Stegostoma tigrinum: one gene and its partners. The protein of the gene in region 4 interacts with the protein of the main gene of each other region in a biochemical or structural test. Links are inferred from orthologs where the notes say so. Each region holds a gene or a part of one and is shown on either strand. Other genes may lie near its edges. The genes, in order: irf8, interferon regulatory factor 4-like, mecp2 and spi1b.

What was found.
Region 1: the proteins of spi1b (region 4) and irf8 form a complex in vitro, tested with the Homo sapiens proteins (3 studies listed by BioGRID). The link is inferred for Stegostoma tigrinum from reciprocal best matches to the Homo sapiens genes SPI1 and IRF8.
Region 2: the proteins of spi1b (region 4) and interferon regulatory factor 4-like are reported together in a solved structure, tested with the Homo sapiens proteins (2 studies listed by BioGRID, with this or other methods). The link is inferred for Stegostoma tigrinum from reciprocal best matches to the Homo sapiens genes SPI1 and IRF4.
Region 3: the proteins of spi1b (region 4) and mecp2 form a complex in vitro, tested with the Homo sapiens proteins (2 studies listed by BioGRID). The link is inferred for Stegostoma tigrinum from reciprocal best matches to the Homo sapiens genes SPI1 and MECP2.

What each region holds. Positions count from the first base shown.
Region 1 is NC_081369.1:51,891,749-51,899,565, forward strand, and holds the start of irf8 (interferon regulatory factor 8), read right to left. Parts: upstream 3,238-7,817; 5' UTR 3,063-3,237; coding exon 3,052-3,062; intron 2,880-3,051; coding exon 2,693-2,879; intron 612-2,692; coding exon 428-611; intron 1-427. UniProt on the Homo sapiens protein: Transcription factor that specifically binds to the upstream regulatory region of type I interferon (IFN) and IFN-inducible MHC class I genes (the interferon consensus sequence (ICS)). Can both act as a transcriptional activator or repressor.
Region 2 is NC_081355.1:16,028,796-16,036,773, reverse strand, and holds the start of interferon regulatory factor 4-like, read left to right. Parts: upstream 1-4,890; 5' UTR 4,891-4,941; intron 4,942-5,371; 5' UTR 5,372-5,373; coding exon 5,374-5,574; intron 5,575-7,548; coding exon 7,549-7,735; intron 7,736-7,940; coding exon 7,941-7,978. UniProt on the Homo sapiens protein: Transcriptional activator. Binds to the interferon-stimulated response element (ISRE) of the MHC class I promoter. Binds the immunoglobulin lambda light chain enhancer, together with PU.1.
Region 3 is NC_081402.1:3,533,583-3,541,269, reverse strand, and holds the start of mecp2 (methyl-CpG-binding protein 2), read left to right. Parts: upstream 1-4,405; 5' UTR 4,406-4,477; coding exon 4,478-4,509; intron 4,510-4,887; exon of another isoform or gene 4,888-5,004; intron 5,005-7,687. UniProt on the Homo sapiens protein: Chromosomal protein that binds to methylated DNA. It can bind specifically to a single methyl-CpG pair. It is not influenced by sequences flanking the methyl-CpGs.
Region 4 is NC_081370.1:11,940,946-11,948,961, reverse strand, and holds the start of spi1b (transcription factor PU.1b), read right to left. Parts: upstream 3,323-8,016; 5' UTR 3,064-3,322; coding exon 3,040-3,063; intron 2,954-3,039; coding exon 2,860-2,953; intron 1-2,859. UniProt on the Homo sapiens protein: Pioneer transcription factor, which controls hematopoietic cell fate by decompacting stem cell heterochromatin and allowing other transcription factors to enter otherwise inaccessible genomic sites.

The DNA of each region.
Region 1 (7,817 bases), on a different chromosome or scaffold from region 4:
TCCAATTCAGGATCCTGATGCTACAAGGCAGCGATACTAACCAGTGAGCCACCATGATGCCCTAATGTTTCCAAGTCTCTAAACCCCACACAATACAGCACAGAATGATTTCCCTACAACCTTTTACATCCCAGGCACACCACAAATGCTTTATAAATGAAATCTTTAGAAAAAAATAGAAAAAGAAAAAAGAAAAACAGAAAAAGTCAGAAATGTGAGGCCGGCTAGTAGGTCAGCCGAGAAAACAAGGAAAGCTCAAGACTTTAAAATGGAGCAGCTGCTCAAAATGTATCTTTCCTTTTCAGACATGAAAAGAGCAAACACAACTGAAACCATTGAATCTAAATTGACAAAATTAGATGTGTGAATCCGGCAGTGGAACACCAGGTACATAATCTGCCCAAACTACTGAATTACTTGTGCTCACATTTTTGCTGTCCTTCAGGAACAATTCGATAAACCTTATATGGTTCGGAGATGTCAAGCTGTGAACGGTCAGTCACTTCTTCAAAATCTGGACTTTTGTTGAGTGCACAACGAAGTCTTGTTTTCCAAGTGGCAGGCTCTGCTTTCTCACCTTCTTTATATTTTCCTTTGAAAATAGCCCAAGCCTATAAATGCCATATAACATATAAACCATGCATAAGTTAGTATAGAGTCTCAATGAACTAATTGGTGCACTATGAACTTGTCTTGTACTGGAAGCCATTAAAGAGGTGACCTCTCACATCTCTGATCTCTGCCTTTGCTGAAGCTAAGAGTTAATCTCCAGCCAATACAACTGCAACATTCTTTTCAGTCCCCCAGTTGAAGGACAAGCTTGGTTTTGGCTGTTTTAATCAAAGTGTTGAAAAGCAGGTGATAAAATAATAAGATGCCTTCCTACCCTACCCTGTATTTGGGAGCTATTTTCTAACAGTCACCTACGTTCTTGTTTTTGTTGTTCTCTAAAATCAAAACAACAATTCTGTCCAAGTCTTCTTTAGTTTCACAATAATCCAAATAACAAAGCAGACAAAGGCAAAAGGAAATTTGCATCCTGGACTTACATTCTTAAAAAGATTATAGAATCACTCCAGTGTGAAAACAGGCCCTTTGGCCAACAAGCCCACACCAACCCTCAGAGCATTCCATCCAGTCCCATCCCCCCATAACCCACCTAACCTATGCATCCCTGAACACTATGGTCAATTTAGCATGACCAACCCATCTAAACTGCACATCTTCGGAGGAAATCTGCGCAGACGCAGGGAGAATGTGCAAACTCCAAACAAACAGTCACCTAAGGGTGGAATTGAACCAAGGTTCCTGGCGCTGTGACCCAGCAGTGCTAACCACTGCTGCCCTCAAGGTATTTTGGTTATTTATTTTCCAATGAAAGCAAAAGAAATGCACTCAGTATATTTCATTCAGCTTCTATATATATTTTACAACTTTAAATGTTCCTGACAGTTGCATCAAAATGAAATATTTTTCAAAATGAAACTAAACAGAAGCAAAATAAAATCTAGTTACTTAGAAACTTGGTGCTTAGAAGAGTTAGATGCCCTTGATCTAGATATACTACCTCAATGGATGTTGATTTGCAACTGAGCTTCAGTTTAAACCTTCGTTCAGCTGCTGATACTTTGTCCTTACTACTACTTAATAACATGTAACATTCAGCTAGAAGTGTTCAGCTTTCTGCTCTTTTCACTGAGTGAAATTTCTGAATCCTTCCATAGTCCTGTATCCAGATGCAAACAAGGGGATGTATAGCTAGGGTCTTCAGATCTAAAGAAGGATTACTAGACCCAAACTCTACCTCTACAAACCCTTAACACTACCTTCTTTCCACAGACTGCTGCCAGTCTTGTTGAGTATTTCCAATAATATGTTTTTGTTTCAGATTTCCAGCATCTACAGTTCTTTTTTTTTGGATCTAAAGCTAGGTCTGTTCTTCAGACATGACAATATTGTCATTAGAAGCATTCTCAACCTGGATAAATAATCCCTCCCGATAAACTACATGCAAGTGTTCAGAGATGATTTCACCTTCAGTGCTAAATAACTATTACATCCAGCTTCTTGCCCTATACATTTTTCCATAATTTTATTTTCAGTGTAACAGCAAAATGTCTAAACTTACTGCAACTGCAGAATCTAAGTGTCTGAACTTAGTGCAACTGCAGAAGCTGCAGTATATTTTTGCAAGATAATGAGCAGGAAAATATTGGCCAGGGCCGAGCAAATGAAGCAAAAATTGCCATTATTTTCTACGCAACTTATAAGTTAGTTCTCATTCCAAATAGGGATACTCCCTCACTAAGTAATATCTGTTAAAAGGCCTCCTTTCTCAACTCCCAGAATAAAATGTACAATTTACGTTTTTAAAAGTTCAAATTATTCCCCCACAGTTTTGCCCTTTCGTTCCTCGAAAAACATCCGACAATAGCTAAACTGAACTCAAAAGTCCCTCGATGCAGACCGGCCTCAAAATCAATGAAGCAAATTGGCTTGCAAAAAGATGCGTATATTGGCTTAACTAACTTAGGGTCACTGCTACAAACCTCCAAAGTGCCCCCAAACCTAACCGTATGCTTTACCCTTCGCTAAAATGTAGCCAAGTATTGCGATCATGCGTGGTAAAGTAGGACTGCTACATTAAAAAAGAACAAATGCAGCATCATAAACTGTGCCAGAATCCTCGTACTTTGAAGATCGAAGCGTCCACCTCCTGGTTGTAGTCTTGTTTCCCGGCGTGTTTCCAAGGAATCCGAAAAGTGACTTTCTCCTCATCGTCCCAGACCAAGCCTGGGTACTGATCGCTGTCAATCTGATCAATGAGCCACTGTTTGAGACGGCGCATCCCGGTGCTGTTTCTATCGACCATGCCGATTCTGCAATAGCAACATTTTAACTCATCAGAGAATAATTACCTCGTAACAAACTAGCGTGCCCAAGAAATTTCATTTGTCCTAAATCATAGAAAAAGTTACTTAGAAACAAAATATCATGTTTTAAACTATTGTGAAAAAAGTTTACATTGTAGTGTTGAAAATGTTTCCTCACCCTTGCATCATTCCAGAGCAGTTCTGTGCCAGGTATAATTAACAGAGGTCAATTACCTAACTGCAGTGCTTTTCTCTTCTGGTTTCGTATCTCCTGTTACTATTCCTTTAATTGTCTGACAATCAATGCCGTGTTATCTCGTCTTGAGCTGAACTGTGGGCGTTTATGCACTCCCAGGAAGGTGGGGTTGATGCGCGGCAACTGTCTGCTCATTGACGCTGCCGTCGACCAAACATCTTAGCCAAGTTCAGACGGCGGGGCCAATGAGATGGGAAGGCGGGAGGGATTTCCTCCCGGTCCAACCCTTTTATAAGAAATCAGATGGGTTGCAAGTAGTTGCAGTGGTCGTTCTGTTAAGTGTGTGTGTTTCCTTGTCTCTTTCTAGGAGGTCCGAGGATCGCTTTTCAAAGTTTCCAGCAGCACGTTTTGCGAAATGAGCTTTTATTGTTTTTTGACCTTTCGTCCATTGCACTTTATAATGGTATGGTTGTATACACGTGGGAGTAGAGGGGGATTTACTTAAGTGGCATGTATTGGGGAATTTCCCGGGACCTGTACGCCTCCTCCTGTCCCAGGGTGGTAATAGTATCGGGGAATGGTTTCGCAATACTCTTGAGGCATTGTGTTTTATGAATTCCTAATAAAATGTCCCAGTAGTTGAAGAGGGTTTAATTTCATTGGACAATACCCACAGACCGGGGGTGTTTTACTTTGCAGACGTTTTCAGCAGTGGTCAATGAACTAAGCTGATTCTTTGGCGAGGAAAAAAGACCATCAGAATATCCCTTGTCTGAATCAACTTTCCCTTCATAGTATCTAGTTTACTTTGTTCCCGCTACCACTAGACTTGATATAACAAGGTGTGGAGCTGGAGGAACGCAGCGGGGCAGGAAAGCTGACGTTTCGGGTCGAAAATGATGGAGTTAGGCAGCTACGGAGATAGGGCTGGAGCCTAAGTGAGGAGCTCTTTCAGAAGCCCGTACAGATACAGTGGGTCAAATGCCCTCATGCTATACTGTAAAACTAAGTGATTCTTGCAAGGTCTGTATTCCTAATGCCCAGTTTCTCTGATAGTAGGAACGGCATATGCTGGAGAATCTGAGATAACAAGGCATACTGCTGGATGAACACAGCAGGCCAAGCAGCATCAAAGTAGGAAAGCTGACATTCCAGGCCTCGACCCTTCTTCAGAAAATGTCCAGTTTCTCTGTCGCGTTTTTTTTAACCACCAATACCAGCACGTCCAATCTGACTTTCTTTTTACTGAACCCAGGATTCACTGCCCACCATCCCCCTTCCAGCACCATGATCAACACAGCTGTCCACTGTGTCACCACCCCCAGGCCTCCTACCCTCCCTCGACCTCTTCATCTCCAACTGCCGTCGAGACATTAACCGCCTCAACCTCTCCACCCCTCTCATCCACTCCAACCTCTCCCCCGCAGAACGGGCAGCCCTCCGCTCCAACCCCAACATCACCATCAAACCCGCAGACAAGGGTGGCGCAGTGGTAGTATGGCGCACTGATCTCTACATCGCCGAGGCCAGACGCCAACTCTCCGACACCACCTCCTACCGCCTCCTCGATCATGAACCCACACCCGAGCACCAAACCATCATCTCCAACACCATTCATGACCTCATCACCTCAGGGGACCTCCCACCCACAGCCTCCAACCTCATTGTTCCCCAACCCCGCACGGCCCGTTTCTATCTCCTTCCCAAAATCCACAAACCTGCCTGCCCTGGTCGACCCATCGTCTCAGCCTGCTCCTGCCCCACCAAACTCATCTCCACCTATCTGGATTCCATTTTCACCCCTTTGGTCCAGGAACTCCCCACCTACGTCCATGACACCACCCACGCCCTCCACCTCCTCCAGGACTTCCAATTCCCTGGCCCCCAACACCTCATCTTCACCATGGACGTCCAGTCCCTATACACCTGCATTCCACATGCAGATGGCCTCAAGGCCCTCCGCTTCTTCCTGTCCCGCAGGCCTGACCAGTCCCCCTCCACCAACACCCTCATCCGCCTAGCCGAACTCGTCCTCACCCTCAACAACTTCTATTTTGACTCCTCCCACTTCCTACAGACTAAGTGGGTGGCCATGGGCACCCGCATGGGCCCCAGCTATGCCTGCCTCTTTGTAGGTTACGTGGAACAGTCCCTCTTCCGCACCTACACAGGCCCCAAACCCCACCTCTTCCTCCGGTACATTGATGACTGTATCGGCGCCGCCTCTTGCTCCCCAGAGGAGCTCGAACAGTTCATCCACTTCACCAACACCTTCCACCCCAATCTTCAGTTCACCTGGGCCATCTCCAGCACATCCCTCACCTTCCTGGACCTCTCAGTCTCCATCTCAGGCAACCAGCTTGTAACTGATGTCCATTTCAAGCCCACCAACTCCCACAGCTACCTAGAATACACCTCCTCCCACCCACCCTCCTGCAAAAATTCCATCCCCTATTCCCAATTCCTCCGCCTCCGCCCCCACGATAAGACATTCCACTCCCGCACATCCCAGATGTCCAAGTTCTTCAAGGACCGCAACTTTCCCCCCACAGTGATCGAGAACGCCCTTGACCGCGTCTCCTGCATTTCCCGCAACACATCCCTCACACCCCGCCCCTGCCACAACCGCCCAAAGAGGATCCACCTCGTTCTCACACACCACCCCACCAACCTCCGGATACAACGCATCATCCTCCGACACTTCTGCCATCTACAATCCGACCCCACCACCCAAGACATTTTGCCATCCCCACCCCTGTCTGCATTCTGGAGAGACCACTCTCTCCGCGACTCCCTTGTTCGCTCCACACTGCCCTCCAACCCCACCACACCCGGCACCTTCCCCTGCAACCGCAGGAAATGCTACACTTGCCCCCACACCTCCTCCCTCACCCCTATCCCAGGCCCCAAGATGACATTCCACATTAAGCAGAGGTTCACCTGCACATCTGCCAATGTGGTCTACTGCATCCACTGTACCCGGTGTGGCTTCCTCTACATTGGGGAAACCAAGCGGAGGCTTGGAGACCGCTTTGCAGAACACCTCCGCTCAGTTCGCAACAAACAACTGCACCTCCCAGTCGCAAACCATTTCCACTCCCCCTCCCATTCTTTAGATGACATGTCCATCATGGGCCTCCTGCAGTGCCACAATGATGCCACCCGTAGGTTGCAGGAACAGCAACTCATATTCCACCTGGGAACCCTGCAGCCCAATGGTATCAATGTGGACTTCACCAGTTTCAAAATCTCCCCTTCCCCAACTGCATCCCTAAACCAGCCCAGTTCATCCCCTCCCCCCACTGCACCACACAACCAGCCCAGCTCCTCCCCTCCACCCACTGCATCCCAAAACCAGCCCAACCTGTCTCTGCCTCCCTAACCTGTTCTTCCTCTCACTCGTCCCTTCCTCCCACCCCGAGCCGCACCCCCATCTACCTACTAACCTCATCCCACCTCCTTGACCTGTCCATCTTCCCTGGACTGACCTATCCCCTCCCTACCTCCCCACCTATACTCTCTCCAGCTATCTTCTTTTCTCTCCACCTTCGGTCCGCCTCCCCCTCTCTCCCTATTTATTCCAGAACCCTCACCCCATCCCCCTCTCTGATGAAGGGTCTAGGCCCGAAACGTCAACTTTTGTGCTCCTGAGATGCTGCTTGGCCTGCTGTGTTCATCCAGCCTCACACTTTATTATCTTGGATTCTCCAGCGTCTGCAATTCCCATTATCACTGTCCTCTGTGTCCAATCTGTCTCACACATTTCTGCCTTCTCTACTTACCCTCCCTCCAAGAATAATGATAGGGTTTCTCTTGTCCTAACTTGTTAACCAACAGCCTCTGTGTTCAACATATCATCCCATTCTATTCATTTCCATTTCTAGTGATAGCACCACCAAATGCATCTTCCTAGGCGCTCCCCTTTCAGCACTCTGATATACGATATCCTCCATGGTATATTAACCCTCTCCTTGGTCATCTGCAGATTACCTCTTTTCCTACAACACTTTTCCATGCAACTGCAAGAGATGTAACACCTGCACTTCCACTTCCTCCCTCATTGTTATCCATGGGCCCAAACATTCCTACTCAATGAGATTCATTTGCTTTCTTTCAGTTTTGAACAGAGTATTTGCACCTCACAACTTAGTCTCCTGTACACCCGGTGACTGCTTTGCAGAACACCTGAATTGAGGACAACTCTGGGCATTCTGTTATTAGTCCTTTCAATTCTCCATGTTGTTCCTATCCAAACCCATCTGAACTTGGCCAGCTGCAGCATTTCAGTGAAACTCAGGGAGCAGCACCTCATCTTTCAAGTTTGCACTTCCATTTACAAATTGCACTTCTGGATTCACCTCTGCATTCAATCGTTTTTGATATAACCATTGCCCCCGTTTTAGTGTGTTTTTCTTTGCTAGTTCAGTTTTTCTCTTATTTTTTAACTTAATTCCTTTGCTTTCAGGCAGCTGCTTTCCAGATATTTTCACCTCTTCTAGTCAATCCTTTTGTTTCTTTCCCATAATTACTACCACCTTCTTTGACTTTAGCACCATTAAAGATTTTTCTCTTGAATCAGTTCTGCTTTGATCTGTTATCACTGCTTTTCTGTTCAAGGGATCAGTAGTGTCATAGCACAGGTACCAGTCCTTGTAAGGTGCTGGAAGCCCAGTCTGCCAATGGGTTTGCCTTCCAAGGAGGAGAAAACAGAGCATACATGTCCCACACTTCCTGAAAACAAGCTGAAG
Region 2 (7,978 bases), on a different chromosome or scaffold from region 4:
AAGCCCTTGAATTCATACGCTCGGACTTTGCTGAAGGGTCTACCATGTAGTACCTGATAGATGGCCTTTTAAAAATATCTCTTTATATTGCATCTACTGTATTAATGTGTGCTCTCCCTGTTACCTGTTTCAGAGAATCCAAGGAGATTGTTCGAGCATGGCTTTCATTGTGAAATCCATATTGACATGGCATCATATTTTCGGTTTCGAGGTTTAATTTTTTGCATCACTGAATGATGACCACCAACATTAAACTGACTAATCTCGAGTTCTGTGACTTGGTTGTACATCCCTTATTAAATATACTATTAGCTGTCATCCACTTCCCTGGCACGTGTTCTTTTTAAACAGAATATACATTTGGAGAAATGCTTCTATTAGTTTATCTTGCATGTATCAGTCAGTTTTGCCAGTACATTGACCTGACTGTCCATATCCGAATACATATATACATAAATGGATGCATGTATGTTACCTAGAGGACTTTTTACATTCGTGTAAAAGTTGCTGGCCTTCTAAGTAAATGGGATTTCTCAGTACGATTACTGCAGTTGAAATTCGAAGAGGCAGAGATAGGCTGACATTTTATGAGAACTGTGACTAAGTACCCTGACCGTAAATTCAAAGGGCGATGAGCAATGCTTAAGAAATACCCATTAAGCTGGAACATATATAACCTTTTTAAAAAATGAATGTTTAAGACAGCCAGGAAATGCTGTCACAACCACCAGCATGAGAATATCTAACGCGAGTGGAAGCCTGTCCCAGAACATATTAGTGAATGTACTCCTGACTTGATTAATACTTATGTGTCTCGATCCCCGTTATAAGCAATTCTATTGACAGTACAACGTTTTATTACAGTTTGTCCATACCGACAACGTGTAACACAATACTGCTGCCTGTGGTAAGTGGAATGCATTGACCTCCCTCTCTGTTGCGACAGTAACACGACATTTAGCAAATCAATCGAATACAGAATTGTTACACTTAAGCTTAACATGTTTCTATTTTGATTGATGTTTTTGGTATGTGTTCGAATTAATTAATGCGTGAGAATAAACATGTTGTGGAAGACGGAAGACAACAAGAGAAGTAATCTCATTGGGTAACCACGTCGGTATGCACCTTTTGTGCCTTATCCAAATTTTTTTTTTTGGGCAGATCAAACAAAAAATCAATGTGTAGCTTGCAAATGCAGAAGTAATACATTTACAATACTGAACACGCACGTACACGGGCAGATATATGCGTGAACATTCTGATCATTGTAGGTCAATTCAAAAATGTAGTTGAAAGTGACCACGAGTTTGTTAGTTTGGGAAATTAACCACGGCAAGATTATTCAACAATCCCGCCCTCGGTTTAATCTAAAATTAGATCAACGTTGGCAGTTTGTGAAGCGCGTGGATTGAAACAATAACACAAGCCCCAGACTGGAAAAAAAGACCTTGCCGCTTAAAATAGGCCATCGGTGTTATTTTGACAAAACAATGCCAGGTGCATTTATTTGTACTGTTTATGTGTTTTCCTGTTTTTCTCTGTACTTTTTTGTGATGTCACTTCGGGAATGAGCACTGTAAAGGTGGGCGCCCAAATGTTAAATCTTATTCTTAGTAACAATGGAAAATAAAACGGAGGTGTCTTATTGATTATTCTTCGCTAGTATTTTGCTTGACCTTCTTTTCAGGAACAAACTGGTAAAAGTGCAAAATTCCTCTATTCGCTCTGTCACTGCGATGTAATTTCAAGTCAGAGTGAAATTGCTTCAAAACTGACAGCCGGCCGCGTTCCACTTAGGCATGGTATGTTTTGTAAATTGCACCTTTTCTCTCAACCTGTCCAAGCGTATATTACACTCAGAACAAAGACAGTGTATAAAGATATCAAAAAGAACTATCTTGTACAGTGATTTACTCTTAATAGAAAGGCGTGGCGCTAAGAATGACCATTCGAGCTTCCGAGTGAGCCCACGTTATTGTGCACTTTCTAGTTCACTATCTTCTCATCATCTTATCTCGATCTGTATCCAGAAACGGCATCAGATCTGAATTATTTGGTTCCAATTAGGTCCACATAGTGGAACAGGCGTAAAATAAGTGAGTGCATTTTCAGAAACACCCACTCTAACCACTCTTGATAACGAGCACTTTTGTTATGTAACCCTGGTCATTTCAAGAGTTTCGAGAGAGCGAATTAGTGGAATTTGTTGTGTGTATGTCTGCTGGTGATGGCGGCGGGAGTGGGGCCGAATCAAAGACACCCAATATGGTCCAGCTGCTTTAGCAGGTACAAATCCCGCATCAACTGAAGCTTTAAATGCTAACAGCATTAAGGACCAACTGGCACTTTTTAACACCTATCAGAGTTCTAATAGAAGCAAACTGACAGAACTCTTGCGGTACAGAGGTGGCATTCCCATCTCTTAGACTAGGAGACTTGGATTAAAGTCCCACCTGCTCTAGAAGTGTGTGCTACTAACTCTGAGTAAGATGATCAGATTTTTAAAAATATAAAAATGAGAGTTATGTGGTGCAGAGGTCACGTCCCCTACCTTTGGAACAGAAGACCTGGGCTTAAATCCCCACCTGCTCCAGAGGGGTGCCGTAACACCTTTGAACAGGTTGATTAGAAATTGGTTCATATTTTTAAACTATCTACAAACTCTACACCTCGTTTAATTTGGTTAGTGAGATATGTAAAATGCTGCGGCTTAATGCAGTTATTTTAATGCACTGCGCATCAAATATTTAGTTAAGAATTCATTTCCTCCACACTATCCATACTGAGCCTTTTCCATGCATTTAAATAATGGGTATTGTGCACAAATCTATCTTTTCTGCTCCTATTCATTAAAATCCGAATTGCAGGTTCCTAATCTGAAACAAATTTAGCCAATTCTGCAAGTAATGGCAACTACAGTTCTTTCCCAAATCCCAGATCTAACTCTGAAAAGTTAAGCGAATTTGGGGGGTGAGGGATACGCCAAACCAGTTGCACTGTCATGCATGTCACCCTGTAATGAACTTGAAGCTGAGCCTATGTTTGAGACATCCAGGTAATTATCGCAGAAGAGAGAACGCACGTTCGGAGCCAAAGCGGAAATGTTGGATTTTGTTGGGCTTTTCTCTGTCTCCTCCCCTCCCGCCTCACACGTTTCCACAAGGAAATGATTTTTCCCTCTCAGAATAGAGTGATAAAATATGACGGATGAAAAACAACAAAAGCACTTCTTGGAAATGAAACTAGCAACTGGTTGAAGCTCAGATAAACTGATGTGACCAGAAAAAAAAGCACCGAGAAGATAACAAATAATTCAATGTTAGAATTTCTAACCACAGACAAATTCTTCCGTATAAACAACTGGGACGCAAATGTGTCATACTATTTTCTCCAATTAGGTGAAATTGAAGTCCATATCTTGACAGAAACGAATGCTTCCAGGGGAGGGGGATGCTTTACAATGGAAATATAGTCTAGTATATTACCGTCACTGGGGGAATGGGGTTTTGGGGAGTGAAGCCCGAGTGGAAGGGAGAGGGGATTGGGATTGATGGAACGCCGGTGGATTTTGCAAAAGATGGATGACCGGTTCATGAATGGACCCTTGGAGAGATGCCCAGGAGGTGGCGGTACTGAATTGGTTCTTAATAAAATTCTAATCCGGTTAAGTGTTTCCACCACGCTTCCATGTAATTGCAAGTGCATCTCCAAAGCATACATTCAATATATCCATATATTCTGTATACGTCTGGAACTATCTAAACTGGCACCGCTTGGTCAGAAAAACACACGAACACTTGTTAGAAAACAGAATTTCTCCACCCCCAAAATTGTCATGTGCTGCAATTATTTCCTGCAGACATGTTCCTTCTGGCTCGGCGTTACTATCCCAAGTTCCACCCACTGACAATTATCCCTGCGTCTAGCAGCATCTGTGGTGAGAAAACATTTTAGATCCAGTGATCCTTTTCAGGTCAGCCTGTAGGCGGTACCCTGGACCCAAAACGCTGACTCCACTCTCTATCACAGATACTGGCAGACCTACTTAGCGAGCTTCTCTAGCAACGTCTGTTTGCTTTTGTTTTGTTTCAGATTTTCAGTATCCGTACTTCTTTTGTTTATTATTTTTCTCTGCACGTTAGCCGGACAGCCAATCTGGCTGCAGCCGTGGAGCATTATTTCAATAGCGAGATACGAGTGGGGATCCTTTTTTGAGCCTCTTCAACTGCGCCCCTGGGGGACGCTGGGGGTCAATGGCAGAGGTGGTCTCACTGCCAGACTTGGGAACCAAGATCCCTGAGGTTGAGTGGTTCAACGTTGCAAACTCCATTCGAAGTCATTGGTGACTTTCAGGAACCCAAATAGGCCATTTTTTTGAAACACTTTAAAACTGCCCAGGGAGAGGTCAACTCGATGTTTGCAGTGACAGGGCAGATAACTGATAGTCTGAGGAAATATTTGGAAACTTTCAATTGACTAAATCACTGCACTATAAGATTGACTCCGTTCCTTTGATATATAATTTATGGCAATTTCATTTCCAAGGCAATTGCACACTGAGGTATATGAATAGTATCCAATTCTGACTGAAAATTTGTGACTGTATTCCTGAGAAATGTTATGCGTAGTTTTTCCACTGCTCAGGTAAAAAAAAAGACACACGCACCCCCAAAAAAAGCCGATCTGTCAAATTCTTCTGACAAACAAATACGTTAACAATGTTTCGTACTCTGAAATGGAGCAATGTTGTGCGCCGCTGGGGATTTTTGTTTCCTCTTGTCCGTGACACTTCTGTAAAAACAGCCTGTGATTGATTAGCAGCAGTCCCGCCTCCCAGCACTCTTGTATATAAGAGAAAGTTCCTTTTCAGTGCTTGTGCTGAGTGGATCTGCTTCATCGTAACCAGTCAATCAAACTTGAAACACAGCAAGTCCCCAGGTAAGAGGCAACTGGATGACTTCGCTGGGAGTTCTTATTGCAAGATACAGCCGAATTTTGTTTTAGGATCAGACACTGATGGGGTGACTGTCAGCTACTCCTCAACATTTAGGGCTTCATTTAAAATTATTATTATGTGAAAATAGCTTGGCTGCGGGCGAGAGAGTGAAGCCTGGCTTCGTGCGTGCACTTTAATCGGATTTCAAATGATCGTACGTTTAGGTAGAACTGCTAGCTGTTAAGAGGTGTCCCATGTGATTTTGTTTTAAAATGCTCTGCAGGTTTCGTACAACTTTTCCTGCAGTGAATGCCCTTGTATGATCAATATTTTATTTACGCGCCCTAAGACGTGACAGTATATGGTTGCATGTGCCTTTTTATTTCATGAGTCTCTCTGTCTCTCTCTCTCTCTGTATGACACATTATCTAGACATGAATATGGATTCAGACTGCAACATGGCTCCAGTGACTTCCGGAAACGGCAAACTTCGCCAGTGGTTGATTGATCAGATTGATAGTGGGAAATATCCCGGGCTGGTCTGGGAGAATGAAGACAAGACGATTTTCCGCATTCCTTGGAAACACGCAGGGAAACAGGATTACAACCGAGAGGAGGACGCGGCACTTTTCAAGGTAACAGTGCACCTCATCTCTCGAGTTTCTTCGTTTTCTGTCTAACTTCTGATTTTTCTCTTTTTCTCTCATAGGGGGAAGGTGTTAATTTCCTCTTTTAAGAAAAAAAACTTTAATGTCACAGCCTCTTTTTCCGCTTTTTCTTCTATGTAATTGTGCGTGTGATTAATTGGCCTGCTGCATAAATCAGTGGGTTCGAATGAAATTATCTGCGTCTCATCCTGACCGTTACATACCGGCTTCGCCTCCACGTTCACTGTGTTCCCTGTTTACTGCAGACCTCCCTGTTTCTACAACGGCTCTTTATGCTGTCTTGTGATCCCATGTGATCTTGCACATGTCATCAAAGCAGTGTCGTGGGAGAGCCACCTCCAGCTACTTGTGTTGTATTTCGGATAAATGAGGCCTTCGGACAAACGGGGCATTACCATTTCAGTCGTCACGATAAGCCCACAGTGGTAGGCGATGGTGGTGGATCAGGTTGCTTTCTATTACACGGTGACTTGCACAGAACTGCCTTTACTTTCAGGAAAGCTACAACGAGACTTTAGTAGGCGTGCATGAATAATTGTGGTCTAAGTTCACATCTTGTGGTGGAACTGGACAGCAACACCGGTAAACCTTAGTCTTTTGTTTCAGGGAAACTACATCATTGCCAAGAAAGTGTTTGAGTATTTCTGAAGACATTGGCCGGTGAATTTTAAAGTCACTGAAGTGACTCACTGCACATACAAATACGAGATATTTATAATGACTTATTCCCACGGGTCATTATAGTTTCTTTGCAAACGGGGTCACAGGAGAAAGCTTGTTTCTAATTAAAACATACTTGGGGCTTTCCCGAGCTTCCAGTGAATTATTATCGCTTCAAAATGCATGGCTATTTGATCAGTATGATTTAAGCAAAGTACACTTTTTTTTGTTCCAATCATATACCCGATCACACTATTATTTGAAGCCATGTTTTCAGCAGATTGTTTGAGTCTCAAGACTCGGTTTTGCTTGGATAGTACCTAATGGTCTGAATAATGTTAATACACTGTTAATGTCAGGTCGTAGAAAATTAGGATGTGTAATTTCCCAAAGTGACAATGCCCCAACCACGAAGATACCACACATTTTTTGTTTATAGTTTGGCTCACCATTTTCACATTCATTATGGAGCTCTATAGATAGTGCCCTGTCTCCAGGATATAAACCATGGGTATATGTTCAATTGCAGGACTTGATGGCCAAGGAAGGATTGTTTGTGCTGTAATTCAACATTTTTAGAATTAGTCTGCTAATTTCCCCACTATCCATCAAAAAAGTGTGTATATATAAAGGTAACAAAAATAAATATGTTAACCCCCTCCTTACATTAATTATAGCCTGTCAGTTAACTATCATTCACCATTAACTGGTGCATCTCCCACAGCAATGCTGCTACCAATCAGAATCTACTCATGTACCAATTAGCACACATATCATATAGTATAACTGTAAGTGTTCCTTTTAAATTGTATTACAAGTTACCCCATTGAAGGGACAATTAAATGTTTACTTTTTTCAGCAAAACTTAATTTCTCTTTTACCAAACAATTAACCATAGTTAAGCTGAATATAGATAACCAATCATTTAACTTGGAATACACAGTACATCCCTTAATTACCGGTGTATATAATGCTTTTGAATGATGGCAGGTAAGAGACAGTGGAGAAAAATACTTTCAAATTAAAATGAACAATCTATCTTTTTTTAAAAAAAAATTAATCCATTCATAATCACAGTAGTTTTCAGTATGCTGAAGCATTTCACTCTTTGCATTTTATGGGAGTAAAGTTTCTTTCTTATATCCAGCATCCCCATTATTTGTCTTGTGTACATCCTGGTAAATAATTTATCCTACTGTTTTTATACAGAAACAATGTTTATGAAATGGAGTGAATGTTGGTGCTTTGCTAACTCACTCTTACCAAATCATTTCTCCCAAGGCTTGGGCACTTTTCAAAGGCAAATTTCGTGAGGGAATTGACAAGCCAGACCCCCCAACTTGGAAGACTAGACTGAGATGTGCCTTAAACAAGAGCAATGATTTTGAGGAATTGGTTGATCGCAGTCAACTTGACATCTCCGATCCATACAAAGTGTACAAAATTATTCCAGAAGGAGCCAAAAAAGGTATTTGCTCCCACTAACATGATCTTTCAATTGAAGTTTTTTAAAAGCTCGGAGAGTAGAATGGATAAGATTAAACGAATATAATCATAATGTCTTCATACCATCTCTGGATAACTTAAGATTATGGAAAATTGCAGAAATTTCCTTTACTTATTTAATTCCTATGTCTTTACTCATCCTAAGATTTTACCTTTTTTTCCTCAAGGAGGATCAAAGCAAATGAGCATGGAAGGTCCACCGATA
Region 3 (7,687 bases), on a different chromosome or scaffold from region 4:
GAGCAAATCACTGCAAAAAAAACTGCTCCTTCCATTAGAAAATGATTGCATGATCCAGAAATCTAGAATAATACAAGGAAGAACATTCAGGGGATTACAGATGCTCTAGATAAGAATGGCCAACAAGAGCATCTACAAAGAACAATGTTCTTTAAATCACAGAATTGTTAGAGCACAGAAGGAGACTATTTGGTCCATCGTACCTCCGTGGCTCTTTAAAAGAGCATGAAAACAGCAGGCTTGGAGGGCCGAAGGGCCTGTTCCTGTGCTGTAATTTTCTTTTCTTTTTCTTTGTTCAAAACCTAATGTCAATCTCCTGTCATTTATTGTACACTTGCACACTATTTCTATCCAAATATTCATCTATGTGAAGGAGACCTGAAAGATAAAAAGTCCTCTAGCAGAGAAATGGTCACAAGTCAGAACCAAAGTCAACAATCATCAATCAAGCAAGAGATCTACCATCCTTTTATATCTGAGAGAGTATGTTCTGAGAAAAGAGTGAAAAATCTAGAACACCCGAAGGTAGAGATCTGGGAGCAGATGGGAGAGTGGTAAATGTAACAAAGATATTTACACAATTATTTAATGAGTTCACTATTTTAAAGAAAGTATATTTTTAATTTTACTTTATTTTTGATTATGAACTGAAATGGGAAAAAGGACTGTCTTAAACACCAGGGACCGTGCAAAGAATTGCTGTACTTTTTAACAGTAGATTACTCAATACTCATTGTATGTGCTGTTTGCACAGCTGCTTGTTCAAGCAGAGGGTGAGGTTACTACAGACATGCTGATCCTGGGGTGTGTACGAAGGGAAATTCCCCTGGCAACAAGAAGATGATTTCTCTGTGGATTAGTGATCATTGGTTGATGACATGGCCTCTTGCCCGCTACCAACTACGCGGTTAGTGCCCTGGTTACTGGATAGCTTATGGGTGTGAATATTTGGTTAGAAGTCATCAGACCATTGAAAAGGAAAGAGCTAATACGGTATGAAGCTGGATGAACACAGCAGGCCAAGCAGCATCAGAGGAGCAGGAAAGGTTTACGTTTCGGATTGCGACCCTTCTTCAGAAAAGGAAAGAGCTGTTCTTTTGTTTGCATTGGAGCCTGAAAAAAGCCAGTCTATCTCTTCCCATCAGTTCTGTAAATTGTGGCTCTTAATCTATAGATCAGACACTTTATGAGCGTGAACAGCCACCCTGTCCCACCTGCAAGCAAGTGAAAGTACCTGGAGAAGTTTGAGTTTGATTTATTGTTATCATGCATACCAGGATACACTGGAAAAGTGTGGATTTGTGTGCTACGTGGGCAGATTGTACCATAGAAAGTGCATCAAGGTAGCAGAACTGAGTGCAGAATATAGTGTTATGGTTGCCAAGAAGGTATGGAGAGAGAAAATTAATACTTGAGATACATTCAAAACTCTGACCACAGCAGGGAAAAAGCTGTGCTTGAATCTACTTGTGCTTGTATTCAAACTTTTATATCTTCTGCCTGATGGAAGAGGGTGGAAGACAGTATAACTATGGTGGGAGGGGTCTTTAATTACGTCGGTTGTTTTCCTGAGGCAGCAAGAAATATTGATGGAGTCAGTGAATGGAAGGCTGGTTTGTGCAATAGATTGGGCTGTGTTCATAACTATCTGTGGTTTCTTGCAGAATTGGGAAGAGCAGTAGCCATACGATACTGTGATACGTCCAGATAGGATGTTTCCTCTGGTGTATCTATAAAAATTGGTAAGAGTCCTTGTGGGCATGCCCAATTTCCTTAGCTTCCTGAAGAAAGCCAAAAGGGCATCTCAGCACAGGCCGTGGACAGGGACTATTGAACTGCCTTTTCTTTCCTTGCATTTTTCTTTGTCTGTACGCTTGTGAATGGGGTTCTTCTGACTCTGATAGGACACTGGAGGTGTGTATCATGTATGCCGTCTCTTGCACCTGGAGTGTCTCAGGAGAGATTCCTTCTTTTCTTCAGGCATTAATGGTATTGAGGCTACATCCATCATGAACTCTGAGGTTTCTTCGATGTTAGATGATGGAGGAGGACCCATGGTTTCTGACAGCCGTTATGGCTGTTCTGAGGTGCCCAGGTATGTTTTGCTCCTGCCCTGTTTGCAAGGTAGCAGCTTTCATAAACCACATGTTTATTTAGGACCACCTCACCTTACCTGAACTTTGTATATCATGGGATCTAACTGTGTGTTGACCTTGACTCATAACCACACAGGGCTGTTCAATGCCAAACTTTGTCACCTTAAGTAAACTGTCTTCCTTGTTTAGAGGAGGCATGTGCCTGGCATTGGTGTTGCTGCTGCCATTTCATGCTCCCCGCTCCCCCCTGCACCCTTAAATGGGAATATTAGATATAACCTGATAGGAGTCTTCACCCATCAACAACTTTGCTGGAGCTCTCCCTGTATTTTCGTAAGGGGTGGTCCTATAATCGAACAGGAAGTGGGACAGTTTGGTATCAAGTGAGGCTGTAGGCTGTTTCTTTAAAGTTTGTGCTGCTCTTTCTGCTCAGCCATTGAATGATGGATGGTATGGAGTTGTCCAAACATGTTAAATCCCATTCAACTTTAGGGAATACTTGAAATCCCTGTTGGTAAGTAACATCCCATTGTCCGTTACCAGTAGTTTCTGTATTGTGAAAATTGTTTGCAGCTTTACAATTGTCATTTCTGAGTTTGCCGAATAAACTCTGTGTGTGTTCATACACTTTGAATGGACATCCAGAGTAACCAAGAACGTTGAGACCATGAAAGGACTGGCATTGTCAAGGGTAACTGAATGTGGGATTCCTTGATTAGCCCAGGTTAACATCCCCAATTACGGATTCACCTGGCCCTTTTTACAATTACTAAAGTAACCTCTTTGCTTTTTTTTTTAAACCTGGTTCCATAGTATCTTATAGGCTATTACATGGCAAGGCTCACCCTCAGTTTGAAAGGAATATTATAATCACGTCTTATGCTTGCTGAGCAACACATGTTCCTGGTCCAACTACACCCTCCTTTTTAAATTCTGATCCTTACTTTCAAATGTCACAATGGGCTCCTTGCATTCCACTTCCTATAACTTGTCCAAAGACACACCTTCTGCTCAATGACCTTACTCCTTTGCTTCCCCAAGACCATGTTCCATCTCACACAGTTCCGACAACACTTACATGAACCCCCTGCTCTCCCCTGACCAACCACTACTCCCCAAGATTTACTGCCATCCTCTCCATAGATCAAACCCCCTCCCAAAATCACCTCTATTCCTCTTCTAAGACCACAAACTTTTTCTCCAAAGACCAGTCCCCAATACCACCCTTCCTCCCCTCCCAATACCACCCCCTCCCAAGATCCTGCCTCCTCTGTTCTCCCAAGACTCTGCATCTTTTGCTCTATCAAGATTTTGACAGGCATCCCTGCTCCTCCAAGATTATGCCCTCTTGCGCAGTACTATGCCCACCCACCAAGACCTGTCCCCTGCTGTCCCACCACTACACCATTCTGCTACACCAAGACACCATTCCCAACCAAAAGCCCCACCTCAGCCAGAGGCCCTCCCTCTCCCAAGACGTGGAGATGCCTCTGTTGGATTGGGCTGGACAAGGTCGGAAATTGCATGACACCAAGTTATAATCCAACAGGTCTATTTGAAAACACAAGCTTTGGCAGATTAGCCCCTTCATCAGGTGATTTCACAACTTGAGACCATGCCCCTCTCCCCAAAGACCCAGCCCCCTGACCAGGGACTCCACCTCCTCCCTCTGTGAACATGGCCCTTCATGATTGAACCACACCGGCTCATACATAAACCCCACCCCCTCACCCTTATAGCCATACACTCAAGCCTGGACACTTACTTTGGGACATGCCCCCCTCACAATGGGACTATGCCCCCTCGTCTGGAACCCCGTCCTCTCACACAGGGACCAATGTTCCTTCACATAAAGGATCATGCCCTCTCACTGAGGGTCCAGCTGTCCCTAAAGGACCCCATCCCCTCACCATTGGTCACTGCCACTCACTCAGGTACCCTGACATGGGGGCATCACCTCAAACAGGGACCACCCCACTTAGCACTTGAACCTGTCATCCCACAGAGTGGACGCTCCCATTTTGGAACCTGTCCCCTCATTTTGGGTCCGTATCCCTCACCAAGGGACCACGCTGTCCTCACTTTGGTACATAAAGGCTCCACCCTGGACCCACCCCCTCACTTTGGGACACACCCCATTCACTCAGACCACGCCCCCTCACGCACGTTCGACGCCCTCTGTCGCTTTGGACTCCGCCCCACCCACCCTTCCCGCCCAACTCCACCAAGCACCCCGCCCCCTCCTTCCCCGCCTCCACCCACTTCTCATTCCCCCCACCTTCACCCGGAACCCTCCCTACCCGAAACTCCGAACGCTCGCGAGATCTCGGCCGGTCGGGCCGCCCGCCCTGCCGGTGTGACGCGCTGGAAATAATTTGAAAATGGCCGCCGCGCCGAGCGGAGGAGAGAGGCTGTGAGTACTGGGAGAGGAGGAGGAGGAAGAGTGCAGTGGTCGGGGGAGGGGGGCGAAGCGGGATTGGAGAAGCAGCTCCGGCCCTGGTCCGAGAGAGAAAACCAGAGATCGGTCAATCCCCCTTCCGTGCTTCGGGACGGGAGGGGGGGAGGTGAACATATGCCGGCGAATGAACGGCGAAGGGGGGGGGGGTGAGAAGTTGAGAGAGAGGGCGGAGGTAGGCCCGGCCTCTTTCTCGCGCGGTGGCGGTCCCGATAATAAGCGGATTGTTTCACACACACAAAACTTGCCCGGTCTAGTGATAATAAATGGTATTTTTTTTGAAAAAGTTAAAAAATAAAGAGGGAGAGGATGGAACCGGTGGCGAGCGAGGCCTACCTCCAAAGGGTGGGGTGGACGGTCGGTCGGAGGTCGACGCTCGGCTCCTGGGCGCTCAGGGCCCGCAGCCGTTGGAGACGGCGCGAGCGGGCTAACGGTCGGGCCCGCGCGAGCGCGGAGTCATGGCAACCTCCTGTTCTACCCCCTCCCCCCGACAATCATCACCGGGGCGACGCCATGGCAACCAGGCGCGCAAGCGGGGTACCCGGGGGCAACCCCCTTCCCTCCATCTCCCGTCACCCCCTCACACTCTTAGCCTCTCTGTCTCCAAGTCAACACCAGCGTGTCTCTCTTTGCTCCCTAACACATAACAAATCGCCCTGATTTCACAGAGCAGGGTGATCGAATGGGTGGTGGGATGTTGGAGTTTGTGTGTGTTTGTGTTGGAATCTGATGTGCTAATCATTTTATGGCATAGTCACCTTATTTCCACCACTTCTTGCCCACTCTCTGTCAACCATGTCTTGCCATTTTCTCCCTCGTTCTCAACTCACCCTGAATTTGCCAAATTCCCAACACTAACATCCTCCCTTCCCCGTCTTTTGTCCCCCTCCCTCCCTCCCTCCCTTCCCCGTCTTTTGTCCCCCTCCCTCCCTCCCTCCCTCCCTTCCCCGTCTTTTGTCCCCCTCCCTCCCTCCCTCCCTCCCTTCCCCGTCTTTTGTCCCCCTCCCTCCCTCCCTCCCTCCCTCCCTCCCTCCCTCCCTTCCCCGTCTTTTGTCCCCCTCCCTCCCTCCCTCCCTTCCCCGTCTTTTGTCCCCCTCCCTCCCTCCCTCCCTTCCCCGTCTTTTGTCCCCCTCCCTCCCTTCCCCGTCTTTTGTCCCCCTCCCTCCCTTCCCCGTCTTTTGTCCCCCTCCCTCCCTTCCCCGTCTTTTGTCCCCCTCCCTCCCTTCCCCGTCTTTTGTCCCCCTCCCTCCCTTCCCCGTCTTTTGTCCCCCTCCCTCCCTTCCCCGTCTTTTGTCCCCCTCCCTCCCTTCCCCGTCTTTTGTCCCCCTCCCTCCCTTCCCCGTCTTTTGTCCCCCTCCCTCCCTTCCCCGTCTTTTGTCCCCCTCCCTCCCTTCCCCGTCTTTTGTCCCCCTCCCTCCCTTCCCCGTCTTTTGTCCCCCTCCCTCCCTTCCCCGTCTTTTGTCCCCCTCCCTCCCTTCCCCGTCTTTTGTCCCCCTCCCTCCCTTCCCCGTCTTTTGTCCCCCTCCCTCCCTTCCCCGTCTTTTGTCCCCCTCCCTCCCTTCCCCGTCTTTTGTCCCCCTCCCTCCCTTCCCCGTCTTTTGTCCCCCTCCCTCCCTTCCCCGTCTTTTGTCCCCCTCCCTCCCTTCCCCGTCTTTTGTCCCCCTCCCTCCCTTCCCCGTCTTTTGTCCCCCTCCCTCCCTTCCCCGTCTTTTGTCCCCCTCCCTCCCTTCCCCGTCTTTTGTCCCCCTCCCTCCCTTCCCCGTCTTTTGTCCCCCTCCCTCCCTTCCCCGTCTTTTGTCCCCCTCCCTCCCTTCCCCGTCTTTTGTCCCCCTCCCTCCCTTCCCCGTCTTTTGTCCCCCTCCCTCCCTTCCCCGTCTTTTGTCCCCCTCCCTCCCTTCCCCGTCTTTTGTCCCCCTCCCTCCCTTCCCCGTCTTTTGTCCCCCTCCCTCCCTTCCCCGTCTTTTGTCCCCCTCCCTCCCTTCCCCGTCTTTTGTCCCCCTCCCTCCCTTCCCCGTCTTTTGTCCCCCTCCCTCCCTTCCCCGTCTTTTGTCCCCCTCCCTCCCTTCCCCGTCTTTTGTCCCCCTCCCTCCCTTCCCCGTCTTTTGTCCCCCTCCCTCCCTTCCCCGTCTTTTGTCCCCCTCCCTCCCTTCCCCGTCTTTTGTCCCCCTCCCTCCCTTCCCCGTCTTTTGTCCCCCTCCCTCCCTTCCCCGTCTTTTGTCCCCCTCCCTCCCTTCCCCGTCTTTTGTCCCCCTCCCTCCCTTCCCCGTCTTTTGTCCCCCTCCCTCCCTTCCCCGTCTTTTGTCCCCCTCCCTCCCTTCCCCGTCTTTTGTCCCCCTCCCTCCCTTCCCCGTCTTTTGTCCCCCTCCCTCCCTTCCCCGTCTTTTGTCCCCCTCCCTCCCTTCCCCGTCTTTTGTCCCCCTCCCTCCCTTCCCCGTCTTTTGTCCCCCTCCCTCCCTTCCCCGTCTTTTGTCCCCCTCCCTCCCTTCCCCGTCTTTTGTCCCCCTCCCTCCCTTCCCCGTCTTTTGTCCCCCTCCCTCCCTTCCCCGTCTTTTGTCCCCCTCCCTCCCTTCCCCGTCTTTTGTCCCCCTCCCTCCCTTCCCCGTCTTTTGTCCCCCTCCCTCCCTTCCCCGTCTTTTGTCCCCCTCCCTCCCTTCCCCGTCTTTTGTCCCCCTCCCTCCCTTCCCCGTCTTTTGTCCCCCTCCCTCCCTTCCCCGTCTTTTGTCCCCCTCCCTCCCTTCCCCGTCTTTTGTCCCCCTCCCTCCCTTCCCCGTCTTTTGTCCCCCTCCCTCCCTTCCCCGTCTTTTGTCCCCCTCCCTCCCTTCCCCGTCTTTTGTCCCCCTCCCTCCCTTCCCCGTCTTTTGTCCCCCTCCCTCCCTTCCCCGTCTTTTGTCCCCCTCCCTCCCTTCCCCGTCTTTTGTCCCCCTCCCTCCCTTCCCCGTCTTTTGTCCCCCTCCCTCCCTTCCCCGTCTTTTGTCCCCCTCCCTCCCTTCCCCGTCTTTTGTCCCCCTCCCTCCCTTCCCCGTCTTTTGTCCCCCTCCCTCCCTTCCCCGTCTTTTGTCCCCCTCCCTCCCTTCCCCGTCTTTTGTCCCCCTCCCTCCCTCCCTCCCTCCCTCCCTTCCCCCCCTCCCTCCCTCCC
Region 4 (8,016 bases):
GCCTTTCAAAGTAAATCATTCAAGGTGAGGTTACATTATAAACTTTTCATCCAACTTGAAGAGGTGCCTTTTTAATGCTAGTGTTTGAAAAGTGGCAGGTTTGTGATGACTGACATAGTCATTGAACAACTCCTGATCGAAAACGCTAAAGGTTCTGGTGCTATCGATTGAAATTAATTATCAAAAATAGAAAGAGACTTGCATAATTCTTTGCATCCTTAAGCCATAGCCTCGCAGCCAATGACGTAGTGTCAAGTGCCATCACCAGTATTGTATAGGAAGCACAGCAAGATACCACAAACAGTAAAGTGACAACGGCCTGATGATGTCTATTTAGTGGTTGCGATGTAAATACAGACTGGAATATTAAGAAAAGCAGTTCCTGCTCGGTTACCAATTGTACAGTCGGACTTCATACACCCTCCCGGTGGAGGTGCTGGTGAGACTGTCGGTTCTGTTCAACTTTACAAAGTCAGCTCTGTTGGGCATTTCTGAGCTGACGTCAATCCACAAACATTTACAGAATTTTTGTTATCTTCTAGAAGTCAAATTCAATATTGTCCCCATTGTAGATAACTTTACAATACTGTGCAAATGTCACGCACACAGCTTTCCCAATTGCCGGGATAATAAAATGTGAGGCTGGATGAACACAGCAGGCCCAGCAGCATCTCAGGAGCATAAAAGCTGACATTTCGGGCCTAGACCCTTCATCAGAGAGGGGGATGGGGTGAGGGTTCTGGAATAAATAGGGAGAGAGGGGGAGGCGGACCGAAGATGGAGAGAAAAGAAGATAAGTGGAGAGGAGAGTATAGGTGGGGAGGTTGGGGGGGGGGGGGGGGGGGGGTAGGTCAGTCCAGGGAAGACGGACAGGTCAAGGAGATGGGATGAGGTTAGTAGGTAGGAGATGGAGGTGCGGCTTGGGGTGGGAGGAAGGGATGGGTGAGAGGAAGAACAGGTTAGGGAGGCAGAGACAGGTTGGTCTGGTTTTGGGATGCAGTGGGTGGAGGGGAAGAGCTGGGCTGGTTGTGTGTTGCAGTGGGGGAGGGGACGAACTGGGCTGGTTTAGGGATGCGGTGGGGGAAGGGGAGATTTTGAAGCTGGTGAAGGCTTGAATGCGGACTGTAGTCCATTGGGGATGATCCGGGTCCGTAGGCAGGTGCTGAGGAAGGTGATGTGGCTGTGGTACCTGGTTTGCTTCAGGACATGCTCGACCATGTCCTGAAGCAAACCAGGTACCACAGCCACATCACCTTCCTCAGCACCTGCCTACAGACCCGGATCATCCCCAATAGACTACAGTCTGCATTCAAGCCTTCACCAGCGTCAAAATCTCCCCTTCCCCCACCGCATCCCTAAACCAGCCCAGTTCATCCCCTCCCCCCACTGCACCACACAACCAGCCCAGCTCTTCCCCTCCACCCACTGCATTCCAAAACCAGTCCAACCTGTCTCTGCCTCCCTAACCTGTTCTTCCTCTCACCCATCCCTTCCTCCCACCCCAAGCCGCACCTCCATCTCCTAACTACTAGCCTCATCCCACCTCCTTGACCTGTCCGTCTTCCCTGGACTGACCTATCCCCCCTCCTACCTCCCCACTTATCTTCTTTTCTCTCCATCTTCGGTCTGCCTCCCCCTCTCTCCCTATTTATTCCAGAACCCTCACCCCATCCCCCTCTCTGATGAAGGGTCTAGGCCCGAAATGTCAGCTTTTGTGCTCCTGAGATGCTGCTGGGCCTGCTGTGTTCATCCAGCCTCACATTTTATTATCTTGGATTCTCCAGCATCTGCAGTTCCCATTATCACTTTCCCAACTGCCGGCCTACACGCAACATTTCTCACTAGCAGCTCTGACTTGCAGAATTCACTCGTAGATGTGAAAAGCAAACAAAACTCTGGACGACCGCAGAGCTGTTACTGACTCCAATCTGCCCAAGAGGTGGAAGTGATTAATATCCTTGAATACCTGACTATTTAGAAGGCCCCTTTTAACTTTTTAAAAATATTCTTGACAGGGTTTAGCGGGATCTAGTGGATGGAACGGTCCTGTATTAACGAACGTCTTGTTTTCTGCAACAGAATGAGTTATGTAAAAAACTTGCGCCACAACATTCATGTGCATTAACTCGCAAATACCCAACTCTCTACTTCTGTTTTTTTTGGAGCAGTTTCCATAGATTCACAGACTGAAGCTGCACACATCAGCTAATTCCGCCTGCGTGCTTTTCTGAAAGATCTAGCTATTCCACACCCTTGCTCTCAAATCCTACACACACTTAATTTGAGTGTTTATCTTTTGAAAATTATTGTTGAATTGTTATCCACACCTTTCCAGGCAGCACTTCTAAAGTCTTGCATTGCCGGAATAATCAACTCAGCGTCAACTTTGTTTTTCTGCTTCCCTGTCGTTATTTAGTGCGCAAATAAATCCCACTGGCAGTTTCAGCCTGAAAGTCGTTCTGTGCCAGTTTAGTTTCCAATGTCTTTTGGACTGTATTGGGCAATATATGCGTGTGTATGTAGAAGGGGGCATGGCATTCCACCTTGCGTTCGCTATGTAACGCTGTGCCAAAGGGCTAAGGAGCAGATCCTCGTGAAGAGGAATTTCTCTGCGCTTTGAAGGAATTGGCGCAGCGGGAAAGAGACAAGTCGGTCATTTCAGTCTGCCAACAGGAGCAGCAACTCCCTTCAACCGCAGATTCTGTGTGAAAAGGAGACGGTATCAGCGCTTGGAAAGTATCTCCTGTCTGCCTTATCGAAAAATGAAAAGGTCAGTTTCAAACCGATTTAGCGGTGCTATCGAACAGTGAGGAAGAAATCCCGTACAGAGCTGGGGTGTAAAGAGAGGAGCTAACTCACCGCTATGACTGTCCCCATCGCTGCCCAGGTAGGTGTAATACTCATGGGGCTGTCTGTACACCTCGCTGTCGTAAGGAGTAATATCTTCGGGGTACTGCAAGTTTAAAAAAGAGTCCCAATTACCTCCAGCCACAGAGCAGCGGACCTCATGATTTCAGAGAGTGACAAACTTTTACTTACGGGAGCAATCAGATAGCCTTCCATAGCCGAACTGACTGTGCGTGTTCCTCTGCGGACTTCAGGCAGCCAGGCACATACTCTATGACTTTTCCTCCAAGGGTCTCCAGTAGCAGGTAGAGTGTGCCCACTTTGCCGTCCCGTTGCCCCAGTGACGGGTTTGCAAAGTGAGGTAAGAGATTCCCTGTAGCTGTCCACAAATGCGAGGGTGCCGAGCTTGTTCAGTGGACGGTGAGAAACTGTTCTTTTCCAGGGTGTTGGGGACCGGCACCCGTCAAACAGGAACTTCATGATCAACGCTGCTGTTACCAGACTCCACCTCTACCACAGCAAGCACCCCGCTAGCTCAGACACAAGCACCCCTTAGCGGCTGCTCCTACAGTACAAGGCAGCACCAAGCTTCAGCTGTCCTATAGGGTCCTCACCAACAACTTTACTCTCTGGGACTAGCTAATAGAAAGAAACTTTGTTGGGTTTCTCTCCTTGCCCCCCGGGGTTGCAGCAAAAGAGATTGCTGAAAGTACTCAGCTGATGAAGGTGGCTTTACTGAAGGGAAAGATTGCTTTGAGAGACGACACATTACACTCAACCTGCCCAAAAAAGGGGGCACCACATTTGCAACCCAGAGAATGGGAGGCATTGCATAGAAACAGAGAACGCTCACAAAACTGAAAGAGGCCATTCGGCCAATCATTTATGTGCGGCTCTTGGCACACCAAGTCAGCTAGGCCCATTTCCTTGCCCTTCTCAAGTGTGCCTGCATTGTTCTTTCTCTCCAGATGTTTCCAGTACTGTTTTAATAATTAAAATGGCATCTCCACACTCTCAGATACTACATTCCAGACTCTATCCACCGGAGTGAACCTACCTTCACCACATTCTCCGTGAAAACGTCAGTGAAATTCTGCTTCGTTGTTTGCAGGAAATATAACAGCCTATTTGTGCATGACAAAATCCCACCTTAAGAAATTAGATCAACGTTTGTTTTTAGTGATTTTGGTTGGGGAATAAATATCGCCCAGGACATCCTGGGAAAGTTCCCTCCTCTTTTCGCAAAAGTGCTAAGGCATCTTTTATATCTACCTGAAAAGGCAGATGTGGCCTAGATTTAGCACCTTATTCCAAAAAACACTTCCAACAGAACAGTATTAACGTTTACTTTCCTCTGGTTTATACAATCCCAGCTGTCATCTGACTGCTGAGCTACTAGTTCTGAACTTTCACTTTTACAAATTATGAATATAATTCTCCTGTATTTTTTTCTTTCACTACTTGCATACACTTTTCTAGGTCACAGTTTGTCATTACATTCTTCTGATACTATGCAGATCCAGATAGCACACTCCTGACATTACAAGCATCCTGTTAATGTACACTCTTGCTAATTTCCTCTACTTATCATATTCTTATCATTCCATATATTAAATCCCAGTTATGAGGATTCAGTTGTCCCACAGCAAATGTTGAATTTAAAGGAAAGTGATATTGCCCATACTGCAGACAGCTCGGTATTAGAATCAAGTCAGGCAGCACTTCTAAAATCTTACATTGTTGGAGTATGGCATTGCTCAGCATCAACTTTGTTTCTCTGCTTCCATGTAATTATCAAGTGTGCAAATAAATCCCACTGGCAGTTTCAGCCTGAATGCAGTGCTGTGCCAGTTGAGTTTTCAATGTGTTTATTAATAGACTTATTGGAAACAAGTCAGCCAAGTTTCTATGGACAATAAATAAAAGCTAGATAATTACAAAAACAATTTCCTCAAATAAAGATTATTAGCTAAAGGTTTTCAATGTATAAACATAAACTATCTTTGTTGAAACATAACATCACACAACTGTCGCCAAGCCATTAAAGAAAGGTTAAACTCTGCAGACACTTTCCATTCCAAGATGGGGGAGGGTGCAGGGAATAGCCTTGACAATGCTTCTCTTTTGGACTACATTGGGCAATATGTGTGTGTGTATGTAGAACTGGGCATGGCGTTCCACCTAGCGTCCTCTATGTTACGCTGTGCCCTTCTAAGGGGTCCATGTCTTCTTCCTGAGAGGTGGAGAAAGGCATAATGTCTTGATGGCCTGTTAAAGCAGAGACTTTGCACATGGGCTGCTGCCTACAGGATTCAATGAAAGTAGTGGTGCAGTTGCAGCAAGCAATGAAGAAGGAAAATGATATGTTGACCTTCATGGTGAGAGGATTTGCGTACAGTGGCAGGGAAATGTTGCTGCAAATGTACAGAGCCTTAGAGAGACCATACCTGGACTACTGCGTGCAGTTTTGGTCTCATATTATCTAAGGGTATGGAGGAAGTGTAGCAAAGGTTTACGGGACTGATTACTGGGATAGCAAGACTGATTTTGAAAGGTTGAATCAGTCAGGATTATTTTCACTGGAGTTCAGAAGAATAAGCGGGTATCTCATAGAAACCTATGAAATTATAACAGGACCAGACAGGGTAAACACAGGAAGGATGTTGCCAATAATGGGAGAGTCCAGAACCAGGGGTCATATCTAAGGATAAACAATAGGCCATTTAGGACTGAGATGAGGGGGAATTTCTTCCTCCAGAGAGTGGAGAGCTTATGAAATTCTCTGCCACCGGAAACTGTTGAGGCTAAAACATTGAAAACTTGCAAGAAAATAGGGGCCGCACAGTGGCTCAGTGGTTTAGTGCTGCTGCCTCACAGTGCCAGGGACTGGGTTTGATTCCATCCTCGGGCAACTGTCTGTGTGGAGTCTGCACATTCTCTCTGTGTCTGTGTGGGCTTCCCCTGGTTTCTCCAGCTTCCTCCCACAGTCTAAAGATATTCAGGTTAGGTGGACTGGGCATGTTAAATTGTGCAGGCTAGATGGATTAGCGATAGAAAATGCAGGATTATAAGGATAGGGCAGGGGGATGGCTCTGGGTGGGATGCTCCTCAGAGACTTAGTGTGGACCTGATGGGCTGAATGGCCTTCTTCCACCTGTAGCGATTCTATTAAAGTATAGATAAAGTTCTTATCGCAAAAGGGATCAAACGATATGGGGAAAAGGAATGGGAAAGGGTAATGAGTTAGATGATCAGCCATGATCTTAGTGAATGGTAGGACAGTGCTAAATGGCCTACTCCTGCTCCTATTTTTTATCCCTCTATGAGATGAGAGAGAACAACTTGCACAATAAGGGTGGAGGCTTGAGCATCTTAATAATATATTCACAGATCCCTGTCAGCAAATTGGTATGCTCAGTTGCTCCTGGCTAGCGGTATTTGAACTGGAGTACAGTCGGGATTTACACACGGTGGTGGGTGTATGAATCTTGGAAGGTCCCAGTAGTGGCAAGCACTTCTACAGCTGGGGAGGGCACCACAGCATGCAGGCGTGTTGAGTACTTGAGGTTGAGTAATGGAGAATAGTGTTAGATAACAGTCCAGAGATCATAAAGAGAAAAACCACAGGGAATACCCTTGAAATTGACACTAATTCAATTTTTGGTCAAATGTAGCTGATAAATAGGGGGCATTAATCTACATTTGGACTGGGGAAGCAAATTTGCAGCAATAATGTTCAAGATGTGTCATTGTACACATGCAATTTAGTTTTCAAAATCCTGATTACAATCAACCAACTAAGGGGCAGGCTATTTTGAATCTAGTATTGTATATTCAGGAGGGTTCATTAATGAGTTCACAGCAAAGGTTTGCAGGAAGTTTCAGAGATTTGGGACAAAGAGAGAGGTACACCTCTGTACTTGTGAGATGATATATCCACCTTGTCTGCCTGACTCTTTCTCCTGTCTCAGCCTACGTTGCAATGCCAAGTCCTCATAGTGTCCTTGTATTCCTCACACAGGCCAAAGAGAGATAGTGACAACTGCACACTCCTGTTGCCCTGGTAATTTCTAAAAGGTACAAAATAAGATGAAGTAGCTCAGTGCTTTTCTTTCCAGATGAAGTCCTCAGAGAATTTCTAGCTCAACAGCTGCTTGAGTGATGAAGTCCTGACAAATTGATACAGAAAATATCCCAATGTGTTTGAGAGAATTTGGTCATACTTCCAGCAGCAAGTGAATATGAAATGTTTAAGTAGCACCTAAAATCTACAAGGTTGCCATATTCATACCCAAACAGCTGCTAACTGTTGGGGGAGGTCATTAGATCAAGTGTTATCCAGTAGAATGATGTGTGGTCTTTTTCATCACTGTCAACAGACATTGCAAATGACAAAAAACTCCTTCCCAATTTGCCTAGTCATTCCTACCACTCAATTCAACTTCTTTACAAAGGTGATGCTTTCTGGTAAACAGAAGCTAAAGGAACTTGGAAGCTCAAGATGCCACCTTGGAAGCTCTTTGCTTTAGAGCTGTCACGCACTCACTCTGCATACCTCCTAACCTGAGCCCTGATCATACTAGGGCAGGTCTCAGCTTGGAAGGTAGAACTGGAGTTTGATGGCCAAAGCTGCTGCACTCAGATTAACTCTAGAAGAAGGTGTGTGTGTGCGTGTTGTGTAGTGGTGTTGTGAAAATGTTACTTGGTTGGTAATCCAGAATGGGTACAAATCCTGCCATGGGAGATGGTGAATTTTAAATTTAAGAAAAACTGGAATAACAAAAAAAAGCTAGTCCAATGGTGAGCATGTACATATTGTCGATTGTTGCAAATCCCATCTGGTTCACTAATTTTCTTACAAAAGAAAATCTACTGTTCTTACCTGGTCTGGCCTACATGTGACTCCATAAGACACAGGAGTGGACCAGAAAGAGACCAGTCAGCCCAGAATCTGCTCCACCATTCAAAAAAAAAGTCCATAGGTTCACAACCCTCTGACAGAAGAAATTCCTTGTCATTTAAATGGGTGACTCCATACTTTGAGGTTATGCCCTCTGGTTATAAAGTCTCCCTAAAGGGAAACAACTCTCCGCATCTACCCTGTTAAGTCCTCTAAGAATCTCCAATGTTTCAATAATGTCTCCTCTCATTCTTATATATGTTCCAATG